Linked DNA regions of Ovis aries. The main gene of each other region encodes a partner of the protein of the gene in region 3 in a complex. Links are inferred from orthologs where the notes say so. Each region holds a gene or a part of one and is shown on either strand. Other genes may lie near its edges.

Evidence for each region.
Region 1: PHLDB2 (region 3) and PPFIA1 share a complex: the UniProt entries of both Homo sapiens proteins name them as parts of the cortical microtubule stabilization complex. The link is inferred for Ovis aries from reciprocal best matches to the Homo sapiens genes PHLDB2 and PPFIA1.
Region 2: PHLDB2 (region 3) and PPFIBP1 share a complex: the UniProt entries of both Homo sapiens proteins name them as parts of the cortical microtubule stabilization complex. The link is inferred for Ovis aries from reciprocal best matches to the Homo sapiens genes PHLDB2 and PPFIBP1.
Region 4: PHLDB2 (region 3) and ERC1 share a complex: the UniProt entries of both Homo sapiens proteins name them as parts of the cortical microtubule stabilization complex. The link is inferred for Ovis aries from reciprocal best matches to the Homo sapiens genes PHLDB2 and ERC1.

The regions. Positions count from the first base shown.
Region 1 is NC_056074.1:43,849,402-43,854,513, reverse strand, and holds part of PPFIA1 (liprin-alpha-1), read right to left. Parts: intron 3,978-5,112; coding exon 3,876-3,977; intron 3,413-3,875; coding exon 3,248-3,412; intron 2,598-3,247; coding exon 2,523-2,597; intron 2,172-2,522; coding exon 2,070-2,171; intron 1,848-2,069; coding exon 1,626-1,847; intron 1-1,625. UniProt on the Homo sapiens protein: May regulate the disassembly of focal adhesions. May localize receptor-like tyrosine phosphatases type 2A at specific sites on the plasma membrane, possibly regulating their interaction with the extracellular environment and their association with substrates.
Region 2 is NC_056056.1:187,728,740-187,733,851, forward strand, and holds part of PPFIBP1 (liprin-beta-1), read right to left. Parts: coding exon 5,083-5,112; intron 4,616-5,082; coding exon 4,583-4,615; intron 2,451-4,582; coding exon 2,300-2,450; intron 2,042-2,299; coding exon 1,913-2,041; intron 1-1,912. UniProt on the Homo sapiens protein: May regulate the disassembly of focal adhesions. Did not bind receptor-like tyrosine phosphatases type 2A.
Region 3 is NC_056054.1:177,683,208-177,688,319, forward strand, and holds part of PHLDB2 (pleckstrin homology-like domain family B member 2), read left to right. Parts: coding exon 1-39; intron 40-2,193; coding exon 2,194-2,413; intron 2,414-5,112. UniProt on the Homo sapiens protein: Seems to be involved in the assembly of the postsynaptic apparatus. May play a role in acetyl-choline receptor (AChR) aggregation in the postsynaptic membrane.
Region 4 is NC_056056.1:213,611,322-213,617,145, reverse strand, and holds the start of ERC1 (ELKS/Rab6-interacting/CAST family member 1), read right to left. Parts: upstream 3,470-5,824; 5' UTR 3,386-3,469; exon of another isoform or gene 3,230-3,385; intron 3,196-3,229; exon of another isoform or gene 3,055-3,195; intron 354-3,054; 5' UTR 110-353; intron 1-109. UniProt on the Homo sapiens protein: Regulatory subunit of the IKK complex. Probably recruits IkappaBalpha/NFKBIA to the complex. May be involved in the organization of the cytomatrix at the nerve terminals active zone (CAZ) which regulates neurotransmitter release.

The DNA.
Region 1 (5,112 bases), on a different chromosome or scaffold from region 3:
ACAGAAGGTATCCGGCAGGAAGTCAGGACCTCTGTCTGCTACACCATACAGGCAGGCTCGACCCAGAACAGGGAGGGACCTTCAATAGATCCAATGGGGAGCTCTGAGGCTCGTTTCCTCGGGTAGAAGTTGGAAAAATCTCATGCAATTTCCTCAAAATTAAAGTGAGAATATTAACGAGTGGAAAGAGAATTGAAAGTTTAACACAACTGGGCGCGGCCTTCTCAAGCCTAGTTCTTCTAAAGCAGCTACGCCACATGTATGAAGTGCTCAAACCAGGGCCAGAACTTGCTGGTGGTGCGACTCCTGTCCGCCGGCTCAAAACCCATTTCAGGTCCCTCCCTGGTCACTAGTAACCAACGTGGGGAAAGTCCTAACATTAAAAGTGAAAGGTCTTAAAACACCTTTTCCAGAATTCTCTACGTATTAAACTCTGACACCTAATCTCCTCCTACTGCCAAAGAGTAGTGTGAACAGGTTGTATAAACGTGTGCAAATATTTCTGCTTTGAGTTCTCACCCAGAATTACTCACACCAAGCTACTAAACAAGTACCCCTGCTGTACCACGTGTTGGAGGGGTTCCCTGAGACGGTCTCACGGCGGGTGGGGGGGCAGCGTGGGCGCTGTCTGTCTGCGCACAGAGGAGAGGCGAGGCTCACAGGAGGAGGCCTGAGCCAGCACTCTCTTGCGTTCACAGTGACCGCTAGGGAGCTTGTCACAACTCACGACACCCGCAGACGTGACTGCCAGAATCATCACGATTCCACATGGTCACGCAGCTCGGGCCTGAGGGTCTGAGGGGGAGGAGGGACACATACTCACTACGGATCCACGCGTAAGATCGCCAGTGAGTAACACATACTCACTACGGATCCACGCGTAAGATCGCCAGTGAGTAACACTCACTATGGATCCATGCGTAAGATCGCCAGTGAGTGACACATCTCAGTACGGATCCACGCGTAAGATCGCCAGTGAGTGACACATCTCACTACGGATCCACGCGTAAGATTGCCAGTGAGTGACACATCTCAGTACGGATCCACGCGTAAGATCGCCAGTGAGGGACACATCTCACTACGGATCCACGCGTAAGATTGCCAGTGAGTGACACATCTCAGTACGGATCCACGCGTAAGATCGCCAGTGAGGGACACATCTCACTACGGATCCACGCGTAACATCGCCCTACTGCACCGCGCAGGGACCGCTGCTCCGTGCTCCGTGGTGAAGTGAATGGGCAGGAAATCCAGGAAAAGAGGGATAGGACTCACCCTGCTGTACAGCAGAAACCGACACAGCAGTGCAAAGCAGCTATACGCCAATAACTGAATGGATGGATGCATGAATTTCCAGAAAGGAACACACGGGCCGCCCAGAACTTGTAGGAATGCGGAGTCCACACCCAGGGTGCAGCACAGTGCCAGGGCCACCCTCGTGTCGGTCCACTGCCAACGGACCGCCCGGGCCCCAGAGCCTGCGACACAGAGGCAGGGAGGCCACCAGCCACGGTCACGCCGGTGCCCTGCTCTTGCTCATGCAGCCACCCCTAGGCTGAGGTCCCCAGGAGAACAAGGGACCCACAGTCCACCGCAGGACAACGGACGCGGCCGCCGTCACTCACTTCGCGGACGTCCCGCTGCAGTTTCGTGTTCACTTCCTCGGACTTGATGAGGTCCTTCCGGGCCGTGTCCAGGTCCTCCTCCAGCTCCGTCACGTGGGCAGAGAGGGCTGCCAGGCGCTCCTTCATCTGGCTCTGCTCCCGCGACTGCTTGTCGATGACTTCCTGGAGCTCCATCACTTTGGCCAGGTCTTCCTCGTGGCTCAGAGAGCCGTCGGAGGATCTCTAAGGGGGGAAGGAAGCCTTAGGTGGCCCTGTTTCGGGAGGGAGGGGACACAGCACTCCGGGCAATCGGTGAGGTCCACACTGCGTTCTGCGCTCTGGGAGCTCACCGGACCCTCACGGCCGCTCCAACCTACATGGCGTGTTGGTGAGAGGTTCCCAAAAGCCCCGCACAGACTGGACAGTAAGACGAGAACCAGGCAGAGTGCGAGACGGAGGACTTGCCTTTCCATTGGCGCTCGGCGTGCTTTCCTGCTCGTGATTTACATCAAGCACCCCGTCCGTTAGTACCTTTTTCTGGTTATTCTGCTCTTTAAGAATCATCAGCTGAAACCAAAAAATCGCAGGAGAGTAAAGAAGTAAGTGAACACAGCAACAACTCTGAACGGAACACACAACATAAAAGAAAATGCATGGTGATGCTGTCCACCCTGAATAGAGCCAGGTGATCAGAGTCAGAATCTGTCTTCTCCTGGACAAAGGGGCGCTGGAGAGATCCTGCAGCTCTGAGCCACAAGGCTAGTTTACTGGTCATTAAAATGCCCCAGGTGGGCAGGTCCTCAACCAGAAAGACAAATAACACCCGATGCCCACCGCGACAGCCTTCATCCTTTTTCATAACGAAGGGATAAAAATGACAAGCCCTAGCCGAATTACATGACGGCGGATCGAGCTTACCTCTTTGTGTGTGGCGCCCAGCTCTTCTTCCAACAAGCTACACCTCTCGAGCGCTACCCGCAACCGCTCTCTCACCTGAGAGGAAAGGGGCCGAGTCACTGTGTGCTGACGTGTGTTTGCACGTTAGTACACGTCTCACTGTACACTCACCCTCATACACGGCTACCGTAACAGAGCACCTTTAATGTCTCTCATTGATCTTAATGTCAAGAAACTCTGCTTGTTAACAGCTTTCAATTCTAAGTTTGAGAGAACAAAATGTTATCCTAAATTAATTTTATTACCCAGTTTTTAACTGCAAATTGATATACAGAATTTAATAAATCTTGAAATATTTATGCCAACTAATACTTTTTAACTGGGGGCTTCCCAGGGGGCTCAGTGGTAAAGAATCCGCCTGTCAATACAAGAGGGCAGGTTCAATCCCTGGGTCAGGAAGGTCCCCGGAGTAGAAGGTGGGCCCCCACTGCAGTGTTCTTGCCTGGGAAGCCCCATGAAGAGAGGAGCGTGGTGGGCTACAGTCCACAGGGTCGGAAAGACTCGGACATGACAGCATGCACACAGGCAGCGCTTCTTAACTATATTTGAAACTCTGACTTCTTACAGAAAAAACGTATTTACAAGAATACAAGACGCTCAAAAGTCAACTAGTTACACAAACACGTGCGTCGTCCACCTAACAAGGCAGCAAGTGTACAAATCCAGGAGGGCCGGGTGGCTGGTACCTTCTCGTCCAGGGCCTTGTGGTGCTCGAACAGCGACTTCAGCGCCTTGAGCACCTCCACCTCGCTGGACACGCCAGCTGGGGACTGTGCCTGCCGCTTGACCACCGTCATCCGCAGGGACCGCTCGTGCCGTGAGACCAGGCACTCCAGGTGCTCCAGCAGCAGCTGCAGGGAGAGGCCAGAGCAGCACCGTCAGCCTCAGGCTGGGATTCGGGGCAGTGGCTCCTCTCAGCCTCACGCTAAGACCAAAACTGTGCTAAGGCACGTCGGAATCCCGCCAGTTCAGTCTAAAGTTAGACTGGACCTCCCTGGTGGCCCAGTAGTTAAGACTCCACACTTCTGCAGGGGTCGTGGGTTTAATCCCCAGTCGGGGAATCAAGATCCCACACACAGTGAAGCATGGGCAAGAATGTAAGTTGAGAGAACCCCTCCAATGTACTGAGATTACATTAGCTCATCACAGACTTGAAGGGAGGCATGAGAACCCCAAACCGACCCACCCTGGTCTGCTCAGTGGGAAAATGTGGAAAATGGGTTGAAAACCAGACAGAGTTTAAAGACAGCAGCACGGAGCCCGGCGCTGACCCCCGCGGGGCGAATGTCAGCACGTGAGAATCCCCCTACTGACCCTGGTGTTGTTCCTTTCCGCTTTCAGCTCAGCGATTTCTTCTTCTCTTTCAAGAAGCTGCTCCCTGCACACATTCAGTTCTTTAGTAAGTGCTGCAAACTCCTAGAAAACAGTTAAATGAGTGAGTAACTAAGTGTAAACACAAATTTAGAAAGAGAGTGAGACTCTGAAGACTGACACGGTCAAGCTTCTCCAGGCTCCACACAAAGGATCTCCCTGCCCCTCCAGAGAAGAGGAGGTCCGCTGACCCCAAGACCACACAGACCACCACTACTCAGGCCAGCCTTCAGCCTCCACCTTGACCTGGCAGGCCCGTGCCAGGGGAGAACCCGGAATCCAAGCCCGCCTTCTCCAGACCCAGGGAAGTCTGAGATACTTTCCTAAACATAAATCCTAACAACAAAGTGGATGAAGAGATTCTTAAACAACACACAGACAAGTGACCTAGAAACACCGGGGAGAGTAAAGAAAAAAGGTAAGGTCTACAAGGCCACCAGGCTTTGGCGTGTTCCTCTGGGAAAAAGGCTGAAGGCACCCCAAGGCCATCTCTTAGCCTGACTCCACTGAAGTCACCCAGTCATTCAATAAACTGGTTAATATGTTAAATTCATGTTACATGTATTTTATCACAACTTATGCACGTGCGCAGGCGCGCACACACGCAGAACTCTTTGGAGACAAGGTGGCTTCTAAGAGCATCGATCAGCTACAGAACAAGAACAGCCCTTCACGTCAGGATTTCAGCACCGACTGGCAAACACAAAGCTCCAGTCCCGCTGGGGAGAAGCAATCCAGCGTGTCCTCACACCGGACAGACTGCCCACAGGGCATGGGCACTGGGCATCATGGCTGGGAAGCGGGCAGGGAGGGGGGCCACAGGGACTAGGTCTCCTCTCCACGGCCCCCCAGGAGCGAGGGAAGGAGGCAGGCGCTGATCTCCAAGGGGGGGATGTCTACAGGAAGAGCAGGCTTTGGAGGGAGCGCTAACTGGTCAGTTTCAGATAAGGTTAATCTGAGACGTACTCGGGCCTTCAAGCGGCCGTGTCCAGTCCAGAGCCTCCCAGTCTGGAGTCCTAGGGGACACAGGCCAAGATGAGACAGAGCAGCAAGGCGCTGAGTGTGGGCGAGAAAAGCCGAGGTTTGAGCCCAGCGAGGAGTCACTGCTGGGTGGCTGGGAAGTGAGAGGCGCCGGCCAGGGAGGCTGGGGAAGGCCAGGAGGGATGGGGACCATCTCGGG
Region 2 (5,112 bases), on a different chromosome or scaffold from region 3:
TGAAGGAAATGATACTTCCTCACAAGGGAGATGAACGCTCCCTTGTGTCAAACAAAGCCACAAAAGATTCAACATGACTTAAGAAGACCTTGTTCTATGGAAGAAGACTGAGTTAAACGCACAGATCAAGGTATTATACTAGTACCAACCAATGTTGTTTAGAGGTTGAATCTTCAGAGAACACTAGATCAGACTGAAGGAAACTCAAGTCTAACTTGAATTAACTTTAGTAGAACTACAATTTCTCTCCACATGGTATTCAATGAAAAGAGGGCAATATGCCATTCCTGAGTGTGAGATAGTGCAATCAAAGTAAATTTTTGCTTTCTTTTGCTATTTTTAAATTAATTTTTAACCTGGAATCTAGTTGGTTTATAATATTGTATTAACTTCTTATGCTATTTTTACAAATGGCATTCTTGTTTGGAAAAAAAACAGTGTGGCAACAAATAAGAAAATTTCTTTTTAAAGCAGCACAAAGAGTTCCTCTACTGTGTACAAGAGAACATATGGCAAACGAGACTGCTCCATGTTTGAAGAAGGCCAAAGAGTTTCCTCCTTGACGAAACCGGTGCCCAGTGTTCTGTCTGGTGGGAGGGACCATGTGTGAAAGGTTTCCAGCCTATTTTCTTTTTTAAGATTTAGTATCAATGACTTGTGCTATATGTTTGCCAACCACACCCTTTGATGTTTAGCAAGTCTGTGGAGCAGTTCCAAACCAGCCCTAAACTGGGATAAAGGTGTAGGAAAAGTTCTTAGAGTCTTAACAGTACACAGTCCTGATAAACTGAATTCCAAAACCATGTATGTCTTTTAAGTGCTTTCACATTATATATTAACTGTTAATGTTTGGTGGTTTAGTTGCTAAATTGTTCCCGACTCTTGCAATCCCATGGACTGTAGCCTGCCAGGCTCCTCTATCCATGGAATTCCCCAGGTAAGAATATTGGAGTGGGTTGTCATTTCCTTCTCCACGGGATCTTCCTGACCCAGGGATCAAACCCAGGTCTCCTGTGCTGCAGGTGGTCCCCTGCACTGCAGGCAGATTCTTTACCGACTAAGCCACCAGGGAAGCCCTGTTAATGTACACTGAACAGTTATTTTTTTGCCAGATACTTAAAGCGTATCAACTCATTCAATCATCACAATCATCTTTTGGGGGTAAGTACTAATTCATATTATGGGAAACAGAGGCAGAGAGCATGAAAGTAATAGGTTAAGGTCACTCAGCTTACAAGAAGTGGTGAAGTCAGAAATCAGGTCCAAGCAGTCTATCTCTAGAACCTATTCTCTCTTTTTCCCCCTTAATTATAGTTGAGTTACAATGCTGTGTTAGTTTCTAGTGTGAAGTTAAGTAATTTAGATATATAAATATATATATATTCTTTTTCATATTCATTTCCATTACAGTTTATTATAGGCTTTTGAACATGGTTCCCTGTGCTATACCGTATGACCTTGTTGTTTATCTATCATATATATACTAGTTTGCATCCGCTAATCCTAAACTTCCACTCCATCCCTCCCCCATCTCCTCTTCCCCTTGGCAACCACAAGTCTGTAGAACCTATTCTTAACCACTACACTTTCCCATCTTTCCAGAGCTATGCTTTAGAGTTCCTATAATTACTTTTTATGTAAAATTTAAATCCAAGAGCCATTCTAGTACAGATGTTGCTGACATTTCAGCTCAGGTTACTCACCTAGCTCACAGAGCCCTCATCTTCTGTATAGTTCCTCATTAACCACAGCCAAACAGCACTAGTCTAAGGATGACAGAAGCTTCCGTAGGTGCAGCAGTAAGCAATGGATTCAGCTGTCTAACCCAGGGTCAATAATAACACTGCAGATGCTCACAAGACCTTGATGCTTGGGAGGTGATGCAAATGTCCATTCATGTGGCTGCTCCTACCTGTTAGACTGTCCCAAATCACGAGACCACCCCAATCGGGGCCCCGCAGTTGCCCTTGTCCCTCCTCTTTTGAATTCAGACTCAGACATGTCATCTGGGTTGAATGTAGTGGACTGACTTCTCCTAAGTCTGTAAAGAAGACACAGCACATTAGACCTGAAGATGTCTTTGACTTTAATTTGAACATTTTAAACTGATGCTTATGTATGTATGGTTAGAAAAGACATTTGGATTTAAACTTTGAGACTCAAAGAGTTAATGAATCCCATCACAATCTTCCCTCTGTAAAAGGATCACAAAAGCCCTAAAATGTTGTAACCATTTTTAGCCAGTTTGCCAATCATCCCTACATTTGAGCCACATATAAGACAAAGCTCTGTTACTTACTTTCCGAAGAGTCTCATAATACCCCGGGATTTTTTTTTGGAATCTGGAGATGGTGGAGACATCTGGAAGGCACTACTTCCCTGTGAATTTTTCGGCCGAGAAGATACACCAGCCAGATCTAGGTGCTCCGGTGTCTCCTTCTCTGTTTCAGCTATTCCAAGAACAGAATATACACTTGATGAATTTTAAAACATGGGTGAACATGCCTAGGTGTTAACCGCCGTGGTTTAAGCAACTATTAAGAATTCTTCTTCTGTTGATCTATAAACCAGTGACTTAGAAAGAGCACCCTGCAAATATTAAAAATGGAACACAAATCTACATCCTACTCTACCATCTACTTCATTGTGTATCAAGTTTATTAACTTGGAAATTATATCTCCTTTGAGATCAAAGGTAAAATAGCATTATCATACTCTTTCCTTAACTGATTTGAATCCATAATGAAATCATTCTCGAAATTGCTGCAGTGCTTGGTACTGTTGACTACTTCCTACAAAGCCATCATCTCCTTTAGCTTCCTGACATAACAAGCTCCTAGATCTGCCATCTGAAAATTTCTTTGCTGTAGCGCTGTTTTCTCTTCCTCTTTCACTCCAAGATTCTCTCCTGGGTTCCTTCTGCAGGATCTTTTAACAGACTCACTCACTCTATGCTCAGCACGAAATGATGGCTTTGCTCATTTCATGAACAAAGCAACTGGTATCAGAATCTCTGAGCCTAAAAATCTCTCTCCCCAGCTACATTCAGTATCTGAATGTCAGTGGATATTCCCAATTTGATGTGCCAAGAGTACCTGGGACTTAACAAATCCATCCAATTTTCCTGAGAGTCTTCTTTTACATTTTCTTATTTCATATTTCATTAATACCAGGTAATTTTCTCCCTGTTACTCCAGTCTAACCTGTTTGTCATTTTCTTTTCATTCCCTTCTCCCCTTTGGCATTTACATCGAGTTGGTTACCAAGTTCTGGGAATTCTTTATTTAAGAAATTTATTCTTAATTATAACCTGTTATGTTCCAGGAACTAAGAAAAGAATGAACTGGATAGTCATAAATTTTTCTTAATGAAATTATTTTTCTTTTGATAGGAAACTAGTGCCTGTTGATTTTGCTTTAAAAGAGTAACACCCAAATCTGTTATCCTCAGACTTCCCAGCATCAACTCTCCTCATTTGTTTAGCTGTTGATCTCACACTAGCAAACACAAGGATGCTGATTCCTCGATGTGAGAACACGCACTTTTACAGAGCAAAGTAAAAGTTGTACAAAAATCACAGGGACAGTGTTTCAGCAAGATCTAAAAGTTGCAGAGGCTGACTTGTCTATGAAGCAGAGCTGTGATTACAGGTTATGGTAAGCAGCATTGACTGGCCTCTCAGTATCAACAATACGTTTCTCCTAAGAAAGATGCAAACACATTTGAGAACAGTTGTCTGGATAGATCATTTTCATTCATCCTGTGTATATGCTGGACATTTAAGGCAATGAAGAGAGAGAAGTCACTTTTGTTGACCCATATTAACATGTGGATACCTATACAAGGTAATAGGACCCACTGGGAAAATCAAAGGAATCTATCCATTCAAACCCTACAGCCACGATAAGAGGTACTGGGGTCTCTGAAAATGCTGCCCAGCTCTCCCTCATTTTAAAAGCATCCTGTTTTTATTTATTTTGAGGATAACCTCCCTACCACTGTATTCTTTAAAAAGGAAAACTGAGCTTTCCCTCTCCTAAAATCGCTTTGGGGGTAATTCCTCAGATATTGCTATAACTAAATGTCACCTCCATCTTCAAAGTAATATGTCAGAAGGATGTTCCTCTAAGAAAAGTAAGTCTAAAATGATCGTTTTCAGTGTTTCCCACAGACCTGTTCAGCTAAAAACATTTCTTCCTGGAGTCTGGGGAAATGTTACCATCAAGGAGGAACTGCAAGGCCCTGGGAGTTAGTGTGATATGATGTACTTTGGGGTGAAGGAGCTGGATTTATGACGCCAGGATATTCCTGCCCTGCACTTTGCCGGCTGCTGGGCACATCTAGGTCTTCACAGAGCTGCTTGCAAGGTGCCATTAGCATGGGTTACAGCAGCATTTAGGCTTAGAAGCGGAGGCTCTACAGAGAGTCCTGGTGAGCGGAAGGTGGAAGGAAACCTCTGGAGTAGAGGACTCCATTTTTTGATGCTGCCAGCTCGCTGTCTAGTGATCAGGATGCCAAGAGCAGGGATTAGCTTGGTTGGGAGCACAGCGCTGGCAAAGGCAGGCATGCAGGGGTACGGTACCTAAGGTGGGTGCACTGGCACTTCGTTTACGATCTTCAGAAATCCCAACAACGCACACAATCACACGCAGCCCAATGGAGAAAACACAGGGGAATGACAAAATGAAACACAGATCAAACTCCTACTCACAAAATACACACAGTGAGAGGGGAGCCACACTGCGCTTCCGATGCTACACACAGACTCCATTAGCAGTGTCAATACGGGGTGAATTTCAGAGTAGATGGGAAGCTGCTTGTAATGATGTCAGAGAGAGCCACGGGCTTTGGTTTTTCCTCTAAGTTTACACCCAGAACAGGGAGCAGAGTGAGAGAATTCACACCAAGCTATCTTTACCTCTGAATTAAGCCTGTGGAAGCATTTTTTAATTAACTTTTCCCCCCAAGTCATTCACCTTCATTTCTGAGAAAAAGAAATGTACAGATAGATGAATAAGGAAAGCGATTGATCTTTTCCTGACTCTGGAAGAATTAAGGAAATGGCATTTTGGCCACACATACCCAAGTTTGGCGCGCTTGCTGTCCTCTTGT
Region 3 (5,112 bases):
GAAAAGGAAGTGAAGATAAGGGAGAAACAAAGGGCCCAGGTGGGTCGGTCAATCTGGATGGGCTGGAGTAGGCTGCCCCCTGGTGGTCATTTTTTAGAAGACGGTCGTGCTGTGTCTGAGGATGCCTGTGGCTGTGCTGCCCATTAGCTTTTGGCTTCTAATGGCCAAGAGAAAGATGTTATTAGGCCAAAAAAAAGTGTGTTTATTTCAGAATTCATTGGGGACAACTAACAAAATAACATTTTTCTTTAGTTAAGCGTGGAACATTTTCATGGGAACCCATTTTTTGGAGTATATTTAAAAAGAATTTTTTTTTTGAGCGACTTTGAAAGTTCAGCTAGATTCGTTTCTAGAAACAAATACAACACCCAAACTGAGTTGAGAAAAAGAGATTCTGTCATCTTTTGGAAGCAGACACTCCAGTACAGAATAACGAGCCCAGTTCCTTGCTGGTGGAATTAATATTTATGGTGGAATTCATTTTAAATTAATTTTAATGGTGGAATTTAATCAATAATTAATATTTTGAATTGTTTTCCTAACCACACTGTGTTATCACAGTGCTGCCAGTCCACACACATGGGCACAGGATTGCTAAACTCAGGAGAACCACCCACTTTGTTTAACTTCCTGTCTCAGTCATCGTGGAGTTTGGTCTTGTCACTAGAACTGCTTACATAATGTATGTTTCCGGAGAAACTAAAGTAAAATTTTAAGTACCATGTAATTTAAAGGTCAAGTCAGCTTTACCAAGGCTTACTAGATTTAAAGATAAAAGGTACCAGTTCCTTCCCTTATTCCTTCCAGTTGCTGGCAGTTTGAAGTTCAGCAGTGAGAGACTTGCCTTAATCTGTGGCACCTGTCTAGAGTCAGAGTACCACAGAATCAAAGGCAAAATAAAGGGAAAATCCAAGGAAAGCGTGTTCGTTTTATCTCCTTATGCCAAACCTCTGGCACATTTCGGTTTGCTGGAAAGGTCATCCATGACTATTTGGTATCTGAAGCCAAACCAAAGGCACAATTCTATTTTAATCTCAAAGATTAGTTTTGTTTCCAAGTATATGATTAGGTTATGTTCCCCCAGGACAAAGGGTGGGGTAGTCTAACGGCATAAAATATGAGACCGGTTTAGAAATGTTACTCGTGGTGACATGCTCGACCTAGTCTAGATGAACCTCTGCTCCAGCTGGTGACATGCGCGACCTAGTCTAGATGAACCTCTGCTCCAGCTATTGCTATTGCTACTGCTAAGTCACTTCAGTCGTGTCTGACTCTGTGCGACCCCATAGACGGCAGCCCACCAGGCTCCCCCGTCCCTGGGCTTCTCCAGGCTAGAACACCGGAGTGGGTTGCCATTTCCTTCTCCAGTGCATGAAAGTGAGAAGTGAAAGGGAAGTTGCTCAGTCGTGTCCAGCTGTAGTAAACTTAAAGACATCAATGACAGACTTCTCTGCCTGGTCCCGGACTACTCATTGGGTACAGCTTTCATTCCACATTCTTATCTTATTTTAACTTTGCCTTTCAGAACACCTCTGCCTTCAGTTTCTATCAGAGAGTACACGAAAATCAGCATGTACATACATATATGCTTGGGGCATCTGGTGGGGGCTGTACTTACTAAATGACGTTCAGTCAGTTACATCATGCCTGAGGTTATATAAGGAGAACTGTTGTTGAGGTTGTGGCAGGGAGAACTCCTGGGAACATTACAGTGGAGGAGCCCTCCTCTGAAAGAAGCAGCCGAGAGAACTTCATGCCCTATTTCCTTATGTTTTTGTCTTGTTATCTGCCGTGCCAAGCGGCATATGGGATCTTAGTTCCCCGACCTGGCATCAAAGCCATGCCCCCTGTGCTGGAAGTATGGAGTCTTAACCACTGGACCGCCAGGGAAATCCCTTCCCAGTTTTAAGTGCTGAATACCTCTTTTAAAACTAAGGTAAATGACATGTTTCCATTTTTTCATCTGGCCTTTTCAAGGAATAGAATCTGTTGGCCTGAATTTATTCGCATCCCCCCCTCCCCATACCATCACATTTTTCTTTAAATGCCATCCACTTTTTCGATTCCAAATGACAGTGTTTAAGTTCTCATAATTGCATGGACGTTTGAACACTTAGGCTTTTCAGTTCATAAACATCTGTGACCTAAAACCAAACAAAGAGCTATAGATTAGATGGGCTTGTGCATTTCCAGGCTCGACCTCTGACCCGCTATCTGCCTGTGCGGAAGGAAGACTTTGATTTGCGGAGCCACGTAGAGACTGCTGGCCACAATATCGATACGTGTTATCATGTGTCAATCACAGAGAAGACCTGCAGAGGATTCCTCATCAAAATGGGTGGAAAAATTAAAACCTGGAAAAAACGTTGGTTTGTTTTTGATCGGAACAAGCGCACCTTCTCTTACTATGCAGGTAGGTCATAAAAAAATCCAAGTGATATTCAAATCAGGAATTTTCTGTTAAAGAACAAAAGCAATAAAATTCAGAATAAATAAGTAAAATGAAAAGTAATAGATTAATGGCAATATTAGCTTGATAGATGTATTCAGATCATATGGTCCAATATTTATGAATTTCCTCTAGAAATAATAAAAATTACATTTTAAAAAAGTGTGAGTCAGTTTTGTTCTGGTTCTGAAATAAACTCAAACCCAAATAAATATTAAATGGAATTTACTTTTTAGACCAAAATACTATCTTTTAAACCATGAGATCAGAAAAGGTTTCTATTTATTTATTTATGGTCATATGCCCTATTTAAGTCACACACAATTAGATAGCTTAGCTGACAGCCATTCAGCTCTAGTTCATGGTAATTTCAGCAGTGAAAAGCTCCTTGGTGAACTATTGAATAAGTTAAGTATTTACTGGGAAAATTTCCAGTAAATACTGGAATATTTTTGGATTCTTTAAATGATAGATTATGAGACTCGTACCCTACTGAATCCTCTATGAGTACAGGAATATTTGTGTAACCAGTGTACTTATTAAGAAGCTATTAAGAAGCCCCTTATTTACACATGGATTTCATATGAAATATGTCCATTAGCTGCACAAGTATAGCTGTGCTCTCTTTTCAGCTGCTGAATAAGAGTAGTGTCAGACTAGAGGTTATGAAGACACCCTGCCTTGGGGTGATAGTTCCAGCATTTATGAGCATTGTTGGGAATTGTTACAAAGTGTAGCAAGTAATAAATTTAAAAAAATAGTCCAGTCATTTAATCTGTAGGGTGTGGTCAGGTATGTTTATAAAGAAAGGTGTCAGAAACCAAGAAGCTTGGGGAAGAAAGGAGCCTCTGTCTATGGAGACCCAGAATCCCAGAGTGAAGGGTGGCAGGGTACATGCCTTTAAGCAGGGGGCACCAGAGTGAAGGGTGGGCAGGGTACATGCCTTTAAGCGGGGGCTCTTTGGGTGGGGCTCCAGTTTCTACAGTGGAGAGCAAATGGCCTAACTCTCACTGGTTACCTCTTTTGGGCTTTCTGACTTTGGGTTTTATAAGAATCCAAAGACAAGATCTTCAGTTAATACAATAGAAGAGATGTCTATGTGATAAGAAATGCCAATTCAGTGTCTGCAAAATGCATAAAGAAATTTTGCTATGTGCTAGTCTCCACTGACAACCTTAGCCAGAATTTTAAAATAATTCAAATAAAACAGCTTTGCTCATCTCTGCTCCTTTTTTTAGGAGCCTTATTTCATTCTTTCTTTAGTCTGACAGGTGAGAGGTTCATTGCTTGTTTCTGGCCCATATAAATGTGTTTTTCAAATTTAAACTTCTTAGTGACCAGTTTTCAATTTTTTTTTAAATACCAAAATCTTTTGGTATATGAACGATTACTCAGAACGCTAATACCTAAAACAGACAAAAGTTATATTTAATTCAGCTTTCTAATATTTACAGATTGTATAGCTGACTGGTGAGACCTAGTTTGTCGAACGAAACGCTGCCCATTTGGCTCTGTTTGCAGCCATCATCAGCTTTCCTGCTCCCGCCCTCCCCACCCCGACTCTTTCCCAGATGCCACCAAGCACAGGAATGCATCAGCCAGCAGGCTTGTCCTGCAGATGTAGTTCATGCTGGACTCGATCCCATAGGTGCCACGAGATCAAATCCCATGTCAGCAAGCTAGTCAGCCTGGTAAATGAACACGGCATGTGTGCAGGGCCTAAGCCAAACTCATAGGTCTCCCTGTGGAGCAGGCCCCTGTGCTTGGCCTCCCACATAGTAACTGAGCAACTTTAGAAGAGTCTCTAAACAAACCTAAGGCACAGAAAATATGTCTGTAAATTGCTAGGATAATGCTATTGAGAAGGAATACTAGAATTATCTCATCAATTTACAAGAGCCTTGTATTTTCCATTTTTTCTGACTCGCCCTACAAACAAAAGTTTTCTTCCCCCAGTTTTCTGCCTGCTTTGAAACACTGACAAGGTTTACTTTTATCTTCAGATTTTATTTTATACCCATTTCCAGAAAACAGAGTATTATTGTTTTCCAGTGAATGAATTATTGCAGGATCTTTTCCACCAAATGTTTGAGAAACACACTCACCTTTTCTTTCACAGAAACGGATGGAAACCCACTGAACATGGTATTAATTAAAGTGTTTCCCTAGGAAGAGCAAAAATAAACACAAAAATATGGTCTATGCTCAAATAAGTTTAAAAAATGCAGAGTTAAATGCAATTATATAGGTTTATTTTCTGCTGAACTTCTCAGGGCTGATATTTTTCAAATTTGCTTTTTACTGTTGTTAAGGGTATGGGGGAGGAGGGGGCAAGGACTCTCATTTTAGTAAAAACTTCAAAATGCAACTAAGTCTAAATAATTGAAGTAAGTCTCTGTCCCATGACAGAAGTTCTGACCTTTTCTAACACTGTTAAGCATGAAATATCCTTTCAGATTTTCTCCATGCCTTTTCATATATGGTTCAATGTACATAGGTATTGTTTCTTCTTTAATCCATTTAGGACCAAATTATTCACCCTGTTCCTACCTTTCTTCTCATAATGATATTTCAAGGTTTTTCTCTTGAGCACATGCGTATTTACCTTGCTCTTTTCACTGGCTGTGTAGATTCCATTGTATGACTGGTCTAGAATTGAATCA
Region 4 (5,824 bases), on a different chromosome or scaffold from region 3:
GAATGGAGAAGAGACTTATTTTTTTCCCTGTGTATTTTTATAACTTCTGATTTGATACATGTGTTTAAAAATATAAGTGTATAAATGATCAATAACAATAACGTCATACCTCTCCTCGAAGTGAAGGTTGCTCAGTTGTGTCCGACTCTCTGTGACCCCATGAACTATACAGTCCATGAAACTCTCCAGGCCAGAATACTGGAGTGGGTAGCCTGGCCCTTCTCCAGGGGATCTTTCCAACCCAGGGATAGAACTCAGGTCTCCCCCATTGCAGGCAGGTTCTTTACCAGCTGAACCACAAGGGAAGCCCTCTCCTTAGTACAAGTATAAACTCCCAGGCTGTATATTTTGTTCTGAAAAGAATAAAGTATGAAATATATATTTTTAAAATATATATATGATTTTATTTTAAATATAAAACATATATTTATATGATTTACCACATATAAATCATAAAATGATTTATATATAATTTAAATATATATATTTATACATATATTTATTTTAAATCAATCCAAGGAAGTAAAAAACTGATTCTTCCATTTGCCCCCATCTCACACTAAAAAGCATTTAGTCATCTCTCTGATATTAGACATCAGGCAGAATTCTTTCCTGCCCAACAGTCTGACACATCTTTAAACAATGACACAGTTGATCATTCCCTCCTCCTTGAAAACTTCCTTTCCTTCATTTCCAGTACATCACACTCTCCTGGTTTTCCTTCTACCTCAATGGCCTCTTATTAATCTCCTTTGCTGAGTTCCTCTTCATTTCCCCAGAAGGTATCCAGAAGGTAAGTTCTATGAAGGTGAGAATGTTAGTCAGTGTTGTTCACTGCTATATCCCCAAAGGCTAAAAAATGTACCCAGAACCATACTCAAAAAATAACTGTTGAATGAATAAATGAATGAGCCAGCACCCCAAAGGCTCACATTTTGAAAAAGCAAGTCATAGAAATAAACTATATTACACATAACCTTTATGCTTAATTTACTTTATTACATTTTATGTTTGAAAATCCATAATCAATACACTGTTTGTTGATTAGCCAAAATACTTCACTCCCTCATCTTTCTCCATCAACGTTTTTGTCATAGTATGTGCAAAACACATTTAATAGCTCTTATACTGTCTCTAAAAGCATAAATGTAGCATAGAAAAAGAACAGTTGTTGCTTTAAGAATCTTCGCTTTTCGTTTCAGTATTAAAGTTGACCTAACAGACTGACATACTTATCTGACCTTAGTAATTTAAAAAAAAGTGGGGGGGAATATCCCAGTAGACTCAACAAAGATATCACAGTAATGACTAGTAAATGACACTTCTTAAAAATAAAACATACCGGTTTTCTCAGGCATAAGAAATCCTAAAGAGAAATAGATCACCCTATACTTTTCCCAAATTATATGACTGCATTTCAGTAAGGAGAACCACATCCCACTGTCAGCCATGGAAATATCATTTTAGCAAAATACACAGTTTCACCTGGTATCTTAGTTCACATCTGTCCCCATATATACTCAATTAAGTCAAAGTATAATATGAAAGCCAAAACCAGATATGTGAATTTTAATCTTTCCAAGTAGACTAATCCGGTATCAAAACCATTATTATATCAACTTATAGTTTGACTTGTCTGAATAGTTAATTAAATCTTTTGTTTATAATTACAAACTGGACCACACCTATTTTCACTTAATAGCTATTATATCATCTGTTTCCTATAAGTTTCTTCAAGCACAAGTATTTGCTGGAGGATAATAGTCTGCTCATTAAGTAGACATGTTAAAAAAGGCAACCACTGACACTCACCCTGTATATTTCTCTCTTGGGTTACAGGAAAGCACTTCTCTGGCTATGTTCCCAAATAAATTGAATAAGCCTTGGGAAAGTCACTGCTTAAATTCCATTTCATGACGGTTTCTCTTCCTCCATAAATGAATTATTGAGAGTCATGCCTACTTCCATCTATTACATAATACATGTCCATCTCAGGGCCTGTTTTCCCAGCAAGAAATAGCTTAAATGATATTAACTGACAGGTAAGGCCAGGGAGTTCTGTAATCTGATGGGGAGCAGGAATCCAGAAAAAGAGATTCTGATTTAATGTGCTAAGTTGTGAAACACTGCTGTGAAGAACCTTTACTCTTAGTAGCATCTCCCTATGCAGCTACAGACACATGCTCCCAAAAACATTTCAAGAGCACCTGACTTTAAGAATGTTTCTCAAAAATGTAGGGACCTACCAAAAAATTTTATTCCACTTTAAATGTCTAATAAAGACATGCAACTGAGAAACTTCAGAAATCTCCAATAATTCTCAAACACAAAACAGCTAACTGTCAAGATCTACTAAAAACTGAGCTGCAAAAGACAGTCGTGCTTTAAAACATTTAAGTATGTTTCATTTAATTAGAGCCAACAGGAATGTGCAAATTGTTCATTTTATCCATCCAAAGCAGTCAACCACAACCACCTGCAGCTACTCCTCAAAAACGTGACTTCCAAAGGAACCACCTGATCCTCGGGCCTTCTCTTAAGGGGCCAGGATAAAACTTGAAGATGAGGTATACAGATCGTATAGGCACCAAAATAAATAAATAAAAGACTGGAAGATAACGCCTTTTAGAAATAAAGTGTAAGGGGACCTATTACCTAATGTTGCTGCCAGAATGAAGTTGTCTAACCCAAGATCTCGGCTCCCCTTCAAGGGTGTAAAACTCCAAACCCGTCCACGCTCCACAATTTCCCCACCCTGAGCCAAAAGCTGAGGGAGTCGCTTCCCTCCTCGACCCCCACCCCGCCAAAAGAGGGGGGGAAAAAAAAAGCCCTAAGTAGAAACGTGAGACCTAGTGCAATAGCTTCTCCAACTGCTTCAAAGGCAACATCCACAGCTCATCTCCCTTCTGGAAGCCAACCCTCCATCTCCCATCTTACTACTTCACAGAAGAGACCAGAATTCTCATCTCAACGTTGCATATCGGTACCCAAACCCCAGACCAACCCGACCGCACCCCAGCCTCCCGGGGCTCCCCGAGGCGTGTACATCCCCACCTCGCCCGCAACATCACGCCTCTGAAGCCGGCCGCCCGCAGCCCCCACTGGTCCCCGCCGTCGCCGCCCCCCAAGCCGGTCCAGGGACACCCGCCGGTGGGCTGGGTGGGGCCGCCCTCCCGGACGTCCCATCCCCCCGGCAGGGCGCGGAGGGGGAGGGGTCCCCGCGCCTCACCTACGGCTCCGCCCTCCCCGGGGGCGCGCTGCCCGGACCCAGCCAGGGCCGTGGGGAGGAGCGGGCGCAGGAGAGCCGAGGGCCCTGGCGCCAGCGACGGGCGGGAAGCTCCAGGCGCCGCCCGATCCCGAGCTGCCGCCACCGCGGCCGTCTCACCCTCCTCTGGGCTGCCGATGCCGCTGCCAGCCCGGGCGCCGCCGCCGCCACTACCACCGCCGCCACAGCTCGGCCCGGGCGCCCGACGTCACCGCGCCCCGCCCCCTGCGCGAGTCCTCAGCCCCGCCCCGGGCCTACGTCAGCGCAAGCCCCGCCCCTGCCCGGCCGCGCCCGCTCGCCGTCCCGCAGCCTCCTGGGAGGGCTACTCGGCCGCGCGCGGACCTCGGGCGCCTTCCAAGGGGCCGGTGGGCTGGGGGATGGCGGGCGCGGGTGCACACGCGCACACACTCCCCGCGCGGGGCGCTCGGCCTCTGTCTCCTTCCGCTTGCCGTAGGAGGCGGTGCGGCGCTGATAGTGGGCAACCACTACCGCCTCGGTGGACCGGTGCCGCGCAGCCGGTGCCCAGGTCTCCGGGGGCAGGTGAGTTTCCCGCCCCGAGGCCCTCGGACTGTCCGCACCGCCCGGAGACCCCGCCGGCGGCCTGTCCGCGGTTAACGTCGGCGGCCTTCCCTGTCCTCGCGGGTGGCAGGCGGCCCCGCGTCGGGCGCCCCAGTTTGTGGTGCCGAAGCGCTGGCAGGTTTCCTAGTCTGAGGCGCGCGCCGTTACTGTGAGGCTGTAGGTAAGCTGTCGCCGCCCCACGAGTGATGATGTGGGTTGTTTGCAGCCTCTGCCAGCGAGAGTTTTATCAGTAAACACCCTGAGAGCAGTTGAGTCACAGCAGCGTGAGTTCCCTCGTGGTCCCACCGCCACCTTCGCGCCCCTCCTCAGGGTCCTCGCTCGTCACCGCGTCCCCCTCCGCCCAGCGTCGCCGCCCTCGGGTTCCCCCGGTCTCGGTCCTGCCACACCGTCGCCCCCTTCTGTACGATCAGTACTGCTGCCGGGGGACGGCGCGGTCCTGCCAAACGAAGCGTCCTAAAGTATTTGATTTTCTCAGACTCTTTACTCAGGAAAAGCCTACCCCCTGTGACTCACGGTCTTCACCTGACTGCCGATCCGCTCGTCCTGTAAGCTCCCCAGCGATGTGAGGAGGTGGAAGGAAAGCAAAGTGGACTTCATGCTATCTACCTGGTTTCCCCTCGCCCATCCTCTACTTGTGTGACCTTGGAAAGATCCCAGTACTTCTGGGTCCTGCTTTTCTTAAATGTAAAGTGAGGTGTGGACGAGATGTCTCAGGTTTATCGTCAAACCCAGAAATGGGTAGGTTTGAAGAGTGGAAGGTGCTAAGTTAAGCATTGTTCTGCCTACACAGGAATACTGTCCACATCACAGGCTTAGAAAATTTTTTGGTTTCTCTTTTTGTCATTCCACTGTTCTTGTTTTTTATTTCCTACTCTGCCCTACATATCTTTTTTTTTTTTCTTTAATCTACATTTAAGTTTTTTTTTTTTTATTCTTTTGGCCACCTCACACAGCATTCGGAATCTTAGTTCCCTGACCAGGGATGGAACCCATTCCCCCTGCACTGGAAACGTGGAGTCTTAACCACCTCAGACCACCAGCAAAGTCCCAGGGTTTTGTTTTGTTTTTTTTTAATTAAAGCTGGCTGAGTACATTCTTTAATTGCCTCCTCTTCCTAAAACCCTGTTAAAATGCTCATAAAGAAATGAAAAATGATACAAACCAGTACAGAACAGAAAGTGGGAAGGGAGCCACCAAATTTTTGTTGTTGTTAATTTTACACGGAGAAAGTGAGTGTGGTCTGACTGAACAAAATGGAAGAAACCATAGTTTGGAATAGGTGTAGGGAATGAGTACTGCAGTTGAGGAAGGAGGCCTAGCAGCCAGAAGTGATTTAAAGAAACTGAAATTTGGAGTCATCAGCACAACAGACCAAGAGTGAGAAGCAGGGATGAAAACAAGGAAACTAAATAAAGGTTTCTATGTAGAACAGCAGTACCCCAGCCCTCCCCACCCCATACCTCAGATACAATAGCTAGGCATTTATCCCAGGCTAAAAGTCAAGTTCTTATAATCTCTGGGGAGCATTTAATGACTAAGAGTAAAGCATTCTTTATTCTGGCACAATAGCCAGCTTCCTACCCACTCACCCTAGAGTGAAGTTGGCAAGACCCTCCCAAGTTCTAAAGATTCGTCATCAGCGTCCAACTATTTCATCTTAGATATGAACAGATAACCAAGGGCTGTTAGGTATTTAAGGGAAGTCTCCAACTTGGGGCTGACAGAGGAGAAAATGTGACCATAGAGGAAAAAGATACTTCAGAGAACTTAAAAAAATAGAGTATGCTCCCAACTTACTACAGCTATGAAAAAAGGATAATATATAAGTTAACACTCTAGGAACAAAAAGTAAATCTTAAATTAGAAATTGCCAAAATTGTAAATTCAAAGTTATGACCAACCTAGATAGCATATTCAAAAGCAGAGACATTACTTTGCCGACTAAGGTCCGTCTAGTCAAGGCTATGGTTTTTCCTGTGG